Linked DNA regions of Elephas maximus indicus. The main gene of each other region encodes a partner of the protein of the gene in region 2 in a complex. Links are inferred from orthologs where the notes say so. Each region holds a gene or a part of one and is shown on either strand. Other genes may lie near its edges.

Evidence for each region.
Region 1: the proteins of RAB7A (region 2) and RILP are in contact, whole or in part, in a crystal structure (PDB 1YHN), measured with the Homo sapiens proteins. The link is inferred for Elephas maximus indicus from reciprocal best matches to the Homo sapiens genes RAB7A and RILP. Residues at the interface, in NP_004628.4 of Homo sapiens: Ser3, Lys6, Leu8, Ile41, Gly42, Ala43, Asp44, Phe45, Leu46, Thr47, Thr58, Trp62, Ser72, Leu73, Val75, Leu182, Tyr183, Asn184, Glu185; in NP_113618.2 of Homo sapiens: Phe248, Glu249, Leu252, Gln253, Arg255, Asn256, Lys259, Ala260, Phe263, Leu264, Glu267, Glu268, Tyr271, Arg274, Glu275.

What each region holds. Positions count from the first base shown.
Region 1 is NC_064837.1:20,053,826-20,061,454, forward strand, and holds the start of RILP (rab-interacting lysosomal protein), read left to right. Parts: upstream 1-4,526; 5' UTR 4,527-4,770; coding exon 4,771-4,998; intron 4,999-5,069; coding exon 5,070-5,163; intron 5,164-5,257; coding exon 5,258-5,364; intron 5,365-5,458; coding exon 5,459-5,704; intron 5,705-5,994; coding exon 5,995-6,140; intron 6,141-6,495; coding exon 6,496-6,618; intron 6,619-7,464; coding exon of another isoform or gene 7,465-7,504; exon of another isoform or gene 7,505-7,629. Other genes in the region: PRPF8 (pre-mRNA-processing-splicing factor 8), read left to right, coding at 196-389, 1,097-1,336, 1,435-1,576, 2,763-2,903, 3,072-3,211, 3,289-3,491, 3,661-3,815. UniProt on the Homo sapiens protein: Rab effector playing a role in late endocytic transport to degradative compartments. Involved in the regulation of lysosomal morphology and distribution.
Region 2 is NC_064838.1:41,759,289-41,766,866, reverse strand, and holds the start of RAB7A (ras-related protein Rab-7a), read left to right. Parts: upstream 1-4,444; 5' UTR 4,445-4,637; intron 4,638-7,578.

The DNA.
Region 1 (7,629 bases), on a different chromosome or scaffold from region 2:
CATTTTCACATCTTCACCCTGCAGATGGGAAGAGAGACTGTGCTCTGCATAGGAGGTTGACTCATTCATGGGGGGTGGTTGAGTCTTACAGCTTGAAATCAATTCTTGGGTCCCCAGGAAGGATAGGATAAAGAAGGGGATGGGGTAGAGCCTTAAGTGGCTGACTTCTATCCAGTCCAGCACATTTCTTCCCAGGCTTTCTCCCGTCTCATCCTGATTCTGCGTGCCCTACATGTGAACAATGACCGGGCAAAGGTGATCCTGAAGCCAGACAAGACCACTATTACAGAACCGCATCACATTTGGCCCACTCTCACTGATGAGGAATGGATCAAGGTGGAGGTGCAGCTCAAGGACCTGATTTTGGCTGACTATGGCAAGAAAAACAAGTGAGCAGGGGTGCCGGGGAGACATATGGGAGATCCAGAAGGGCGAAGCAGCTGGCTCAGTAGGTGGTTTCTGGGGTTTTTAAAAAACATTTAGGCTCAGAAGTTTTTCAAGAAATGCTTAAGAGATGCGTACAGAAAAGAGGTAGACAGTGTAGGAGATGTCTGTGTTGCAGGCCTTCAGTATGATTCTCCGGCGTTGTTTCTCAGTAGAGGCATTGTTCCTATTTTGAGCAGGGCATCTTTTTACAGTCCATACATGCCAGGAAGTTTTAACATTCCAGACCCCCGGGTACCACAGCTCATAGTGTGCACACGCACCCTTCCTTCCCTCCACAACCTCCCTGTCATTGTGGCAACCAAATATGACTGTACATTTCCAAGTACCCCTAGGGTGACAGTGTCAACTGTGATTGAGAACCAGTGTTTTTGAGAATCGTCCTGTGCCAGGGCACCTCTGTGTGCAGGAGAAGTGGGAGGGAGGATGCTGAGCAGCTTTGAGCCGAGCTGAGAGGTACACATGCACAGTGGCCCCTGCCCGGGGTATGAGGAGCCCTAGATCAGTACATCTCCGCTTCTACTTCCTCCTTCACAAGTATCTCTTCAGGATTGTCTGGGGCAAGGTAAACCCTTGCCATTGAGGTAGAAGTGACCAAGGGATCCCAAGGGGGGAAGGGATCCTTGTGGTGCGACCCACGCTGTCCCCACAGTGTGAATGTGGCATCGCTGACACAATCAGAAATTCGAGACATCATCCTGGGGATGGAGATCTCAGCACCATCACAACAGCGGCAGCAGATAGCTGAGATCGAGAAGCAGACCAAGGAACAGTCACAGCTGACTGCAACACAGACGCGCACTGTCAACAAGCACGGTGACGAGATCATCACCTCCACCACCAGCAATTATGAGACCCAGACCTTCTCATCTAAGACTGAATGGAGGGTCAGGTACTGAAAAGGGCAGGAGGGGTAGGGAAGGAATGGGATCCTGGTGGTGCTTAGGATGCTCAAGCTGAGGAGTGCTGACATCCTCTGCTTGTGTTCAGGGCCATCTCTGCTGCCAACCTGCACCTAAGGACCAATCACATATATGTTTCGTCTGATGACATCAAGGAGACCGGTTACACCTACATCCTTCCCAAGAACGTGCTTAAGAAGTTCATCTGCATATCTGACCTTCGGGCACAAGTGAGTGAATGTGGTTAACTTGCCACACTGTATACCCAACACTTGATGTGCCCAAAACTCACTTGAGATGCTGGTTTCAAAATACATGGAAGAGTAAATATACAAGGTTAGGCAAAACAGGAGAGTTTTTGGTCCTGTCAAATATCAAAACATACTATAAAGCTATGGTAATTAAGAGATTACAGTAGTGGCCTAGAAGTTATTGAAAGAGAATAGTACATAGTCAGAAACAGATTCATATGTATATATATATGTGCGTGTGTGTGTATGTATATAAATGTGGTGTATCAAGTCTGGGGGATTAAGGATGTGATATTAAAACAGTTGGAAAAAGGAGGCTAGATCTCTGCCTCACACTACTCAATAAAATCTAGGAGTAAAGATCTCAGTGTAAACTACTAAACTGTAGGGTATTAGAAGAAAATATTTATGACCTTAGTGGTTTTTATTGGTTTAGTGTTGGCATGGCCTTCTTAAACAAGGCAGAAAACACATAACCATAATTGTAATTAATAAGTGTGACAAAGAGTACTACGAAAGACAAACTAGGAAATGGAAAGAAAATATTTGCATAACTAAGAGATAATGGCATAGCATCTTGAATAGAGAATTCTTTGAAGTTGGTAAAAGAAAGATAACTAGAAGAATGGGCAAAGAATATGGAAAGGTAGTTCAGAAAAGGAACAACAAATGGCAAATACAATGTGGAAAGATGTTCAACTTTACTAGTAATCGGGAAATTTGTATTTTTATAAAACACCGTTTTGTGGCTGCTAGGTTGGTGAATTCGAAGATTGTTAACGCCCTGTGTGGTGAGGTTATAGGAAGCAAGTACTTGCTTTGTTGGTGGCGGTATGAAGTGAAAACACCACCTGGTGCTGGGTGCGCAGATGTGTTCGGCTTGTGCGAAGACACTGAGCTGTATGCTTGTGTGCTTGTTTCTTCGCGTGTACTGCGGTAATCTGGGGAGCTGTGGACCCCACTCGGGGTTCAGATGTGGTAAGCCTGAGATGAGGTCTGTGTTTGACATTTTAACAAGCACCCAGGCGACTGCTACAGAAGGTTCTGTCCACATTCTGAGAAACTCTGTCCTTGTTCTTGAGGGAGGGAATGAAGCACAGAGCTGATGGTCAGCATCAAGACTCTGGGCTGGTACTTAGTTTGGCCCTGGCCCTCTTGTCTCCAGATTGCAGGGTACCTGTATGGGGTGAGCCCACCAGATAACCCTCAGGTGAAGGAGATCCGCTGCATCGTGATGGTTCCACAGTGGGGCACTCACCAGACTGTGCACCTGCCGGGCCAGCTGCCCCAGCATGAATACCTCAAGGTAAGAGGTGACGGAGCTTGGGGTAAGAGGTGACGGAGCTTGGGGTCAGAGAACTGGGGCTTTTTGTTAATCAGGGGGGTGGAGGGAAGGCAGGCATGTTACTCATGGATGGAAATTCTTGTCTGCAGATGGGATTCTAAACTTCTTTTTACTGCTCTTGGCCTATAGGAGATGGAGCCCTTAGGGTGGATCCACACTCAGCCCAATGAGTCCCCCCAGCTGTCACCCCAGGATGTCACTACCCATGCCAAGATCATGGCTGACAACCCATCTTGGGATGGCGAGAAGACCATTATTATCACTTGCAGGTGGGCTTGGGAGGAAGTGTGGTGGTGCAGGCATTGTGGGCCTGGCCTGAGCTCTGACTCTGTCATCCTTCCCCCAGCTTCACACCAGGTTCCTGCACCCTCACAGCCTACAAGCTGACCCCTAGTGGCTATGAATGGGGCCGCCAAAACACAGACAAGGGCAACAACCCCAAGGGTTACCTGCCCTCGCACTATGAGAGGGTCCAGATGCTGTTGTCGGACCGCTTCCTTGGCTTCTTCATGGTCCCTGCCCAGTCCTCATGGAACTACAACTTTATGGGTGAGTAGGGGCCAGCATGTTTGTAGGGAGCACAGGGAGCGGGGATGGGTTTATGGTCATCATCCTTAAAACTTGGGGCCTGGCTCTGGCTTGGAGATGGCCCAGGGGCCCAGGCTGGGTGAGGCAGGTGGACCGCTTGTTAACATTGGATGTTTCCTTCGACCCCAAGGTGTACGGCATGATCCCAACATGAAGTATGAGCTGCAGCTGGCAAACCCCAAGGAGTTTTACCACGAGGTGCACAGACCCTCGCACTTCCTCAACTTTGCCCTTCTGCAGGAGGGTGAGGTCTACTCTGCGGACCGGGAGGACCTCTATGCCTAGTTGTTGCCTCACCTCCTGCTTCAGACTCCCCAGAAGCTGGAGCTTTTTAACCCCCACAGACAGCTGGTGACATTCAGCAGCTTGGCCCCCTTCTCTATTTTGTGCTTGTTTTTGTGTTGTTGACCTCTTGGTGACTTGTAATTCTGAACAAAGTGTAACAATAAATTTTGTATAAATAGGAGTCTTTTTTTTTCTGAGCTCAAAATTCTGCATGTAGGGGTCGTGGGAGGCTGGGCTGTGGCCCTTGTTCACAGCCAGATGATGGGCTCAGCCTTGGGGGCCAGAGGCCCTTTAGTCAGGGCTGTGGGGCTAGATAACCTCTAGATTCAGTGAACTGAGGTGGGCTTGGCTTTCACACTCCTGCTACCCTAACCACATTTGCTAGTTTCCCTCCAAAATACTTCCAAACCATCAGCCTGTTTTCAGCATCTCTTTGAGCAGTTGCTTTCTGTGTTTTGAGCCTGGGAGCTCTGTGGCTTGGTGCAGGCTGCAGCTATGATGCTCAGCCTAGCTCCTTCAGCTCTCTGTGACACTCCTAGTTGTAGAAACAGGCACACAGGTGGCCAGTTTGGGTGGCCAGTGACAGCCCTACCTCACCTCTTGGCTGGAGTACTTGGCAGCCAAGTCAGGCCCATGACTCTGGACTCAGGGGTGGAGCCTGGCCTGGGCCCTGTGGGGAGGGCTCCACTGAAGTGACCACTTGCAGCCCTGAGTTTCAGCTCTTGGACGCCTGGGTGGAAGTTCACTGTCCTGTTTCCTGTGACCTTGGGTTGAAATGGACAGGGTCGAGGGGGCCTAGGGCACTGCCTCCCTTCTCCACGATCTTAGGCTTAATTGCTCCTCCCCCGCTGCTTCTCCCCCTCCCACTACAGCCCAAAACCGCTTCCTGGGCCGGAACTGGTTTTTCCTGCCCCAGTTGGGGGGAAGCGGGCGAAGCCCTTGGCCTTCGGGGTACATGGAGCCCCAGAAGGCGGCACCTGGGGAGCATGGCTGGGGGTCTCGAGTGGCCGCGGGGTCGGAGTCGGCCGCGGAGCTCGTGTACCATCTAGCGGGGGCTCTGGGCACTGAGCTGCAAGAGCTGGCGCGCCGCTTCGGGCCAGACGCGGCAACCGGGCTGGTGCCGCTGGTAGTGCGGGCCCTGGAGCTCCTGGAAAAGGCCGCGGTGGGGCCCGCCCCAGACTCGGTGAGTCACTGCCCCACCTCTCGCCACCCGCGAGCGGGCAGCGGTCTGACCCTGAGCCCTGGACTCCCCAGCTGCAGGTCTCGGCGCAGCAGGCCGAACAGGAGCTCCGGCGGCTGCGGGAGGAGAACGAGCACCTCCGCAGGGAGCTGCGCTGTGGGCCGCAGGGTGAGTGCAGGCCTCCGCCAGGACAAGGGGGGACTGGGGGCCAGTCTAGGGCCTCTCTCCGACCGGCCGCCGCTAAGAATGCCCGCTTCCCCAGAGGAACGCGCTCTGCTGCGGCAGCTCAAGGAGGTGACCGACAGGCAGCGGGACGAACTTCGGGCGCACAGTCGCGACTTGCTACAGCGCAGCCAGGAAACTGAGGCGGTGAGGGCAGGGCGACGGGCGAGCGGCGGGCTCTCCCAGCCCTGGCGCCCCGCCCACCAGCCGCCACCTCTTGACCCCTCCCCCCGCCCCGCAGTTGCAGGAACAGCTGCAGCGCCTCCTGCTGGTGAACGCTGAGCTGCGGCACAAGCTGGCGGCTGTGCAGACCCAGCTGTGCGTGGTGCGAGACCGTGAGAGGGAGAGGGAGCTGCAGCGCGAAGTGTCCCCGGGGCTGGCGCAAGAGCAACCGCTGGGCCAGGCCCAGGGGCCCGGGTGCGAGCAGAGGCAGAAGCCCGAGCGGGCAACTGCTGGGGCAGGAGCCCCGGGGACTCCTGAGGACCCAGTGAGTGCCTGATGAGGGCAGGGACCCACTCGAGTACCTACTCACAGCGCCCGACACTGGCTAGCACTGAGGAAAGGTGTGCTGTGCTGCATGGCCGATCCATCCAGAAGTAGGAAGGTGGCACACAAGTTTGCGCCCCCAACCGGCCTCTGCCCTCACTCCCAGCATTGGTCTGTCATCTGTTGTAGCACCTTCGCCCCCCAAGTCTCCCTGCCAGTCACTTCGTAGTGTTTTTGTGATCGCCCTGTGCTGGCTGTGGTGGCCCCCTAACCAAACCTGTCCATGTGCAGGCGGATGTCGCGCAGCAGCCAAAGCGTCCCCTGGAGGTAGGCCAGTGCAGCTTCAGTAGAGAGGAGCTTGAGCAGATCCTGCAGGAGCGGAATGAGCTCAAAGCCAACGTGTTCCTGCTGAAGGAGGAGTTGGCCTACTTCCAGCGGTGAGGGAGCTGGGCAGGCGCTGGGGCGCCGAGGGGGCTCCACTCACATCTGTTCCTGGGCCTCTGGTCACCCTGCTTCATTCTTCAGCTCATTGATTATCCACTGGGAAGACATGAGTCAAGGAAGCTTCATCCAAACTGGGGAGGGGACAGTGCAGAAGGTCACGGGAGCCACAGCAGCAGCAGCCAGGGTGGTGTTCCTAGGAGGGGTGCCACCTCAGCTAAGGTCTGAGGGGGGTTAGCAAGTCAGAGTGTTTCAAAAAGGGGAAACAAAATGCACAGGTGCTTGGCGTGAGGCCTGTTGTTGGCATGTCCATCCTCATTGCTTTGCCCTGCCCCTCTCCCTCCCCTCTAGGGAGTTGCTCTCAGACCAGCGGGTGCCAGAGCTTCTGCTGGAAGCCATGAAGGTGGCTGTCCGGAAGCAACGGAAGAAGATCAAGGCAAAGATGTTAGGGACCCCAGAGGAAGCAGAGAGCAGGTAAATCCCTACCCTCTGTCCCCACCGGAAGGAGCCCTGATGGTGCAGTTGTTAAAGCTCTTGGCTGCTAACCAAAAGCTCTGCAGTTAAAACCCACCAACTGCTCCTTGAGCTCCTCAGGAGAAAGATGTGGCACTCTGATTCCATAAATATTTATATCTTTGGAGACCCTGTGGGGCAGTTCTACTGTGTCCTATAGGGTTGCTATGAGTCAGAATTGACTGGATGGCAGTGGGTTTGGTTTTTGGTTTTATCCCCAATGAGCCAGCCCTTTCTCCCTCCCTGGTTCTGCTGAGCCTACTGACCTAGACTGGTAACCCTCCGAGTCTGTCATTCAGCCTGAACCTGTCACCCCAGCTTGGTTACCCCCTAAGCCTGCTGGTCTGGTCTGGTCACCCCCTGAGCCTGCAGCTCTGGCCTGGTCACCCCCTGAGCCTGCTGCTCTGGCCTGGTCACCCCCTGAGCCTGCTGCTCTGGCCTGGTCACCCCCTGAGCCTGCTGCTCTGGCCTGGTCACCCCCTGAGCCTGCAGCTGTGGCCTGGTCACCCCCTGAGCCTGCTGCTCTGGCCTGGTCACCCCCTGAGCCTGCAGCTCTGGCCTGGTCACCCCCTGAGCCTGCAGCTCTGGCCTGGTCACCCCCTGAGCCTGCAGCTCTGGCCTGGTCACCCCCTGAGCCTGCTGCTCTGGCCTGGTCGCCCCCTGAGCCTGCAGATCTGTCCTGGTCGCCCCCTGAGCCTACTTACCTGGCCTGGTCACCCCCTGAGCCTACTTACCTGGCTTGGTTGCCCCCCGAGCCTACCATCCAGCCTGCCCTGCTGAGCCTACTACCCTTCTCTCTGGATCCAGGACTCCTCCCACGTGCCCTGCTTGCCATACATTCTGCTGAAGAAACCTGTTCACAGCGCTTCTCTGCGTGCATTTTTTGGTTTCCTGCCTTGGCTGAATCTGTTTATCCTCAAGTCTACAGCCACAGCCTTGTCAGGAGCCTGCTGTCTCTCAGGCTATGAATTA
Region 2 (7,578 bases):
AGCTGGACTGTATGAAGAATGGGGCATCAGGATTGGAGGAAGACTCATTAACAAAATGCAGATGACACAACCTTGCTTGCTGAAAGCAAAGAGGACTTGAAGCACTTACTAATGAAGATCAAAGACCACAGCCTTCAGTATGGATTGCACCTCAACATGAAGAAAACAAAAATCCTCACAACTGGACAAATGAGCAACATCATGATAAACGGAGAAAAGATTGAAGTTGTCAAGGATTTCATTTTACTTGGATCCACAATCAACACCCATGGTAGCTGTAGTCAAGAAACCAAACGATGCATTGCATTGGGTAAATCTGCTGCAAAGGACCTCTTCACAGTGTTGAAAAGCAAAGATGTCACCTTGAAGACTAAGGTACGCCTGACCCAAGCCATAGTATTTTCAATCACATCATGTGTATGTGAAAGCTGGATAATGAATAAGGAAGACCGAAGAACTGACACCTTTGAATTGTGGTGTCGGCGAAGAATACTGAATATACCATGGACTGCCAACGAACAAATCTGTTTTGGAAGAAGTACAACCAGAATGCTACTTAGAAGCAAGGATGGTAAGACTGCGCCTTACAGACTTTGGACATATTGTCAGGAAGGATCAGTCCCTGGAGAAGGACATCATGCTTTGCAAAATACAGGGTCAGCAGAGAAGAGGAAGACCCTCAACTAGGTGGATTGACACAGCGGCTGCAACAATGAGCTCAAGCATAACAACGATTCTAAGGATGGCGCAGGACCGGGCAGTATCTCGTTCTGTCGTGCACAGGGTCGCTATGAGTCAGAATCGACTCGACAGCACCTAATAACAACTTCACTAGAGGGAAGGAGGATCAAGATCAACAGCCCGAGGCTAATTCCTTTGAGGGAGAGGTCAGACATGCCTCCTCTCTCTGCCATCTTTACCAATTCCGACACCAACTGCCCCTCCCATGGCATTCTCCACTTCTCTGCTGAGTTCAATAATTTATTGCAACAGCCACACAGAACACACAGACCATACTCACAGTTATGGGGCTTATAGGGAAGTAACAGGTTACAACTCAGGTTCAGGAATGCTCAGAATGCAGTTCTCCCATCAGGACAGCCTCTTCTCAGCCATGCCCGCAGGCACGCTTCTTTCTCTCTGGCCCCTCAGCCTCTGCTAAGGCAAGTGCTAAACAAAACTCTTTTAGCTCTGTTGATAAGTGCTCCAAGGCACCCCACTCCGCCAGTAAGCCTCAGCCTGAAGGTGCGCAGCTTTTTTGCTCCATGGGCCAGGAGGCCCACTGTGCCATCTCCTGCTGCTCTTTCCTGCTGCCGTTCCTCTGACACCGCTTCTCACCATCGTCCGTGTTATAGCCGTGTCTTTCTCAGTCTCCTGGTTTCAGGAGCTTCTCAGTGTAGGGATACTGGGTCCAAAGGATGCTCACCACTCCTGGCTCTTCTTTCCTGTTGGTGGTTAGATCCTCTCCTCCCACCTCTGGGATGGCTTGTTTTTAGCCTAGCAGGATGGCAAAACTGACCAGTCCTCTATGGTGGGCCACAATGTCCTTATTTGCATAACTTACCAAGTAAATTATCAGACGATAGTGAAAAACCAAAAACCCACTGCGGTCGAGTCAATTCTGACTCATAGCGACCCTATAGGACAGAGTAGAACTGCCTGATAGAGTTTCCAAGGAGTGCCTGGAGGATTCAAACTGCCAACCTCTTGGTTAGCAGCTGTGGCACTTAACCACTACACTACCAGGGTTTCCTGAGACCATAATGAGACAGGCCATATAAAATGATCCATCCCACTGCAAGTATGTTTTGAAATCAGAAAGTGTAAGTCCTCATATTTTATTCTTCTTCAAGGTTGCTTTAGCTGTTTGAGATCCTCTGCCCTTCCATATAAATTTGAGAACTGGCTTTCCATTTCTGCAAAGAAGGCTGTTGGAATTTTGATGAGGATTGCATTGAATTTATAGATTGCTTTGGGTAATACTGACGTCTTAACTATATTAAACCTTCTGGTGGTGCAGTGGTCAGGAGCTTTGGCTGATAACCGAAAAGGTTGGTAGTTTGAATTCACCAGCCACTTCTTGGAAATCTTATGGGGAAGGTCTACTCTGTCTTATAGGGTTACTATGAGTTAGAATCAACTCGTGGTGATGGGTTTGTTTTTTTGTTTTGTTTTAATCCATGAACATGGAATGTCTTTTTATTTATTTAGGTCTTCTTTAATTTATTTTAGCAATGTTTTATAATTTTTTGCATAGAAGTCTTTCACCTTTCAGGTTAAGTTTATTCCTAGGTACTTATTCTTATTGTAAATGGTAATGTTTCCTTAATTTCCTTTTCAGCTTGCTCATTGTTGCTGTATAGAAACCTCACTGATTTTTGTGTTTTGACTCTGTGTCTCTCATAAGGACACTTGTAATTGGATTTAGGACCTACTTGGATAACTCAGGGTAATCTCATTTTGAGATCCTTAATTACATCTACAAAGTCTCTTTATCCAAATAAAGTCACATTCACAGGTTACAGGATGTGAACATATCTTTTTGGGGCTCGCCCAGGGAGAAATCTCTAAATAGTTAGAGACGAGACCATTCAACTCACAACAGGAGTCAAGAATGATTCCAAGGTTTTCAGACTGAGTAACAGGAAAGAATGGCATTTGCATGAGCCGAGATAGTAAAGACTATGACAAGAGTATGTTGTTGAAGATAAAGTTCTAAGTGGCTCTTAATTGTGTTTGTATGAGGTTGGGGCTTGGAAGGGTGGGGTGCATTCTAAGAGTTCTGCAGGGTCCATCTTTGCCTCGCTTTTAACACTAAATTCAGAGAAACTTGAGTTCTTTTTCAATTTTCTTGGGCTATCTCCTCTGTGTTTTGGAAATGTCTAACTCATCTTCATGTTTCTATCATCCAGCTACATAATGGGTGCAGTTATTTGCAGTCCATTAGGAAGATCACACACATTGTCATGAGACCGTGGCTCACAATCCTGGCTGTGCCACTTGCTGTGTGGGCTAGGTAAAGTGACTTTCTAAGTTCTTCAGTTCTTCTCAGTTCTCTATTTGCAAAATGGTGGTAATAACAGCCTTCCTGTAAGATTAAAATAATGACTCTTGGAGTCTACCCAACAGTCTAGTACGGTGCACAGTAAATACAGACCTTCTCCACTCCTCTATTAGTTTATAAAATAACCCCTGCAAGAGCTTGGTTGCTAACCAAAAGGTCGCAGTTTGAATCCACCAGCTGCTCCTTGGAAGCCCTATGGGCCAGTCCTACTCTATCCTATAGGGTCGCTATGAGTTGGAATCGACTGGACAGCAACGGGTTTTGCCTTGTCTCTCACAAAAAGGTGCCCTGGTGGCACAGCGGTTAAAGCATTCAACTGCTAACCAATAGGTTGGTGGTTCGAAACCACCAGCAACTCTGTGGGAGAAAGATGTGGCTGCCTGCTTACGCAGTGATTTAGTCTTGGAAGCCCTATGGGGTCACTATGAGTTGGAATCTACTCCACGGCAGTGGGTGGGTGTTTCTCACTAAGGAGCCCTGGGTGGCACAGTGGTTAAGCACTGGGCTGCTAACTCAAAGATCTGCTAACTGAAAAGTTGGCGATTTGAACCAGGGATTCGAACTGGTTTGTTCTGGTTCAAACCCCTGTTGAGAATTGGAATTTGTAACACGTTCCTAGGCCATCCTAATGATGCTGTTTAGGGACCAATGCTGAGAACCACCAGTAGTGCAGGTTCTCGAATTTTATTATACATAAAAATCACCTGGAGATTGTGTTAGACAGTAGATTCTGATTCTAGATATCTGGGGTGGACCTGCAAATTCTCAGCAGGGGTCTGAACCAGAAGGAACCAGTTGGAAGACCTGGTTTGAACCTACCAGCTGCTCCTTGGGAGAAAAATGTGGCAATCAGGTTCCATAAAGATTACTGCCTTGGAAACCCTATAGGGCAGTCCTGCTGTGTCCTTTAGGGCCGCGATAAGTCCGAATAGACTCCACCACAATGGGATTTAGTTGTGTCTCACGACAGAGATTTCTCCCTGGGCAAATCCATTCTTAGGACAAGCTCTGTAGATCCTGAATTGCTTAGCGTACATGGTAGGACTACTTGGTTGCCTGATCAGTCCTCTTGGAGACAGACACTATGGCAGAGGCAAGCTTACCTCATCCTCTCTCTCCCGGTATTCGTTATTCAGGGAAGACAGGAGGCGGCTGAGGAATCGATTTGTGGGTCCAACATGGCGCCGTCCTGGTCCCTGACCGAGTCTCAAAGATGGCGACGTCCTATGGGGGCAGACATGTTCGGACTACAAGATCCAGGCCCAGGCCAGAGGCGGCCGGAACCTGACGCAAGGTTGAGGCGGCGTCCCACCTCCGCACTCCTCGGCGTCGATTGTCTTGTGACAGGTACTTCCGCTCGGGGCGGCGGCGGTGGCGGAAGTGGGAGCGGGGCCGAAGTCTTGGCCATAAAGCCCGAGGCGGCGGCAGCGGTGGTGTTGGAGGCTTGAAAAGGGCGGAGGGGTCCGCTGGAACCGGCATTTGGACTTCTTCTCTGCCCCCGTACATTTTCGCCTCTCCTCGGCAAGAGCTCTCTCAACGCGCCCGGCCCGGAGCCTCCAGCGGAGCGGCCGCGGTAAGCAGCCGGCCCTGCCTGGCCGGTGGCCTTGTCCCATCCCCCTCCTCAGCCCCTCGGTACCCAGGGCCTCGCATCGATCCCGTCTCGGGGAAGGCTCCGCGCTCAGCCCGATCCTCGCGGGGAAGCCGCGCGTTGTTCAGCCCCAGGAGCAGGCCCGGACCGCGCCCGGTCGGGAAGAGGTCAGAGGTTGCCGGGTGTGACCTCTGGCCAGGTTGCCGGCGCTGAGACTGCCGTCACGGACGCCTTGTTTACTAGTGGTGTCAAGACCGGAGACCCACTGGGCACGGGGCCTGTGCGCCCGCGGCGGGATGCTCTAGCCGCTTGAGTTCCTTGCAGCGGCGAGCGGAAGGGTGTCGGAGCCGGCCCTCCAGCAGCCGTGTGGAGGGGACGGTGGTCCAGGCGCCCCCCAGCCGATCGCGCCTAGTGCTCAGCTACTTTGGCATCTGTGTCTTCGGTTGAACAGCCTGATTCGGCCTTGGGGGAGGGTCCCCGATGGCAGCTGAGTTAAGGCAGTGAGTCAGGTCACGTGCGCGGGGCTCACCTCGGAGGCTTGTGTACATGTGAGACGCTTCTGGCGCTGGGAGATTTTTGTCGTAAGCATGTTATGGTAAATCTTGAACGAAGTTTTCAGACTTATTGGGGGAAAGATGATGAATGGCTGTAAAGCTATGTGTGTTTAGTTCAGACTTGATACATACCGGTTGCCATCGACTCGATTCCGACTCATAGCGACCCTATCGGACAGAGTAGAACTGCCCCGTACGGTTTCCAAGAAGCGCCTGGTGGAATCGAACTGCCGACCTCTTGGTTAGCAGCTGTAGCGCTTAACCACTACACCGCCAGGGTTTCCACTTGATACATAATGGTTCTTAAAATGGGAATATAGAGAACAATAATAGGAAACATTTGAGCGCTTACTGTATGCTTGCTGGGCACCGTGCCAAGACCTTTTACACAGGTTGTTTAATTTTCAGAACAGCCTTTTGAAGTACGATTATCGTGCCCACTTGTGGATAGGGAAATCGAGGAACACAGAAGTTAAGTCACTTGTCCAAGATCACATAGCTAATAAGTTATGGAGCTGAGATTCAAACCCAAGGATTCAGACTCTGGAGTACTGCACTAGATGTCTAGGTTGCACTGCTTTCAGGTGCTCCTGAAGCTTGTGATTTCTCTTGTGCTACCTGGTATCTTCCTCTCTCTCCTTTTCTTTCTAATAATGTCATTTTAAAGCCTCCTGAAGTGGCATTTGTTCTATTTAAAGCCAAAAGTCATTCCATTTGTAGTTGTGACCTTTAATGGATATTATTGTAGTGTAGTGTCAGTATATTAGGAGCTCTTGAATTCTGACAAAGTGCTTAATCGGGGTTTGAAAAATTTTGTTACCTGAATTTTTTGTCAATTGATTAGGCTTGGCAAGCCTGCCATGTGAACCTTTCTTACCACCTTTAGCAGAGATGCGGGTGTACAGCCAGCTGGTTCTTCCCTGTTGAAAATACTCTTTGGATTCTGAAAGAACAGGCTCTTGTCTCTTCCTTGTGACTTAAGCAGCTGATTAGCCACATGACTTCTCATCCATGGATTAATAAAGTCTCCTGTTAGTCTGTTTCCCTCTTCAAACTTTGGAAGGTTTATTTAGGTTTGAGTGAGTTGTGAATATTTCTAATACCTCCTGAGAATATTACCCAAGCTAAAGCTTGGAACTCACAACCCCGTCGTGTTCCAGTTTATCTCGTTTTACCTTGCTACTCAGCCTGATATATTTGAGTAATAAGTACTGTGCCCTTAAATAGCGTTTGGGCACTTTTTCATTCATTCATTGAATGTTTTGAGTATCTGTCATGATTCTGATCCTTAAGGAATTTTCAGATGGTGAGTGATCATTGCTAGGAATTCGGTTGTGGACAAGTTGTCCATAGAACTTGAGGCTTTTGGAAAGAAGAGTTATTTCTCATCTCGGCAGGTGAATTTGTAGTAATCCAAACAGTCTAGTGTTTTGGCTAAATTGAATTTTGTTAATTTTAACAACAGCATTCATATGGCTTGCTCTTTAAGAGAATGTAGAAGACAGTATTACAGTTTCTAATTGATCACGTCTTTTGTAACCTTCAGCACTCTAAATTTGTTTCTCCTTTTGCTCTAGTGGCGTTTTTTGTTCACTTGAGGGAATCCGTGTCACTGCCACCCCATTGCACTGCAAGTGAGAGTTGTTGCAGTGTTCATTGAGCAGAGGTGCATTTGGCATGCTAGATTTTTTTCTTCAGCTGACAGAGAAAGTTGAATGTGGTTCCTGCCCATCACAGTACCAGTAACATCCTAGATAAAACACAGTGCCATGCTACCTCCAATAACTGTTTTGTCTCTCCATCTATAAGAGGAGATTTGGGTTTTGCGCATGTAGAACTGCAGTGTAGGAGAAACCAAACCAAAAACCAAACCCAGTGCCGTCGAGTCGATCCCGAGTCATAGAGACCTTATAGGACAGAGTAGAACTGCCCTGTAGAGTTTCCAAGGGGTGCCTGGCGGATTTGAACTGCTGACCCTTGGGTTAGCAGCTGTAGCACTTAACCACTACGCCACCAGGGTTTCCAGTGTAGGAGAAGACACTCTAAAAATGGTATTATTATTCTGTCCAAGTAATCGTGATATTATTATTCTGACAAAGTAATGGTGAGCAACAGCTTGGAGATAGTTCTCCTCCCCCCCACCTGTGGCTAAGCCTCCAAACCCCATAATCAGAGAGCATTGCATTGTACCAAAGTGTGGCTTTGAATCACTTTTCTGACCCCACCCTCAAGTGAAGAAAAAAAAAAAAGTTTTGATTATTTGATTAACTTTTAATAAGTCTTCAAAGAGATCTGCACTAATAACATTTTTGCACTTATATCTGGCATTGGCCTTTCCACACAGAGGTGTATCAAACCCAGACTACGTGGGC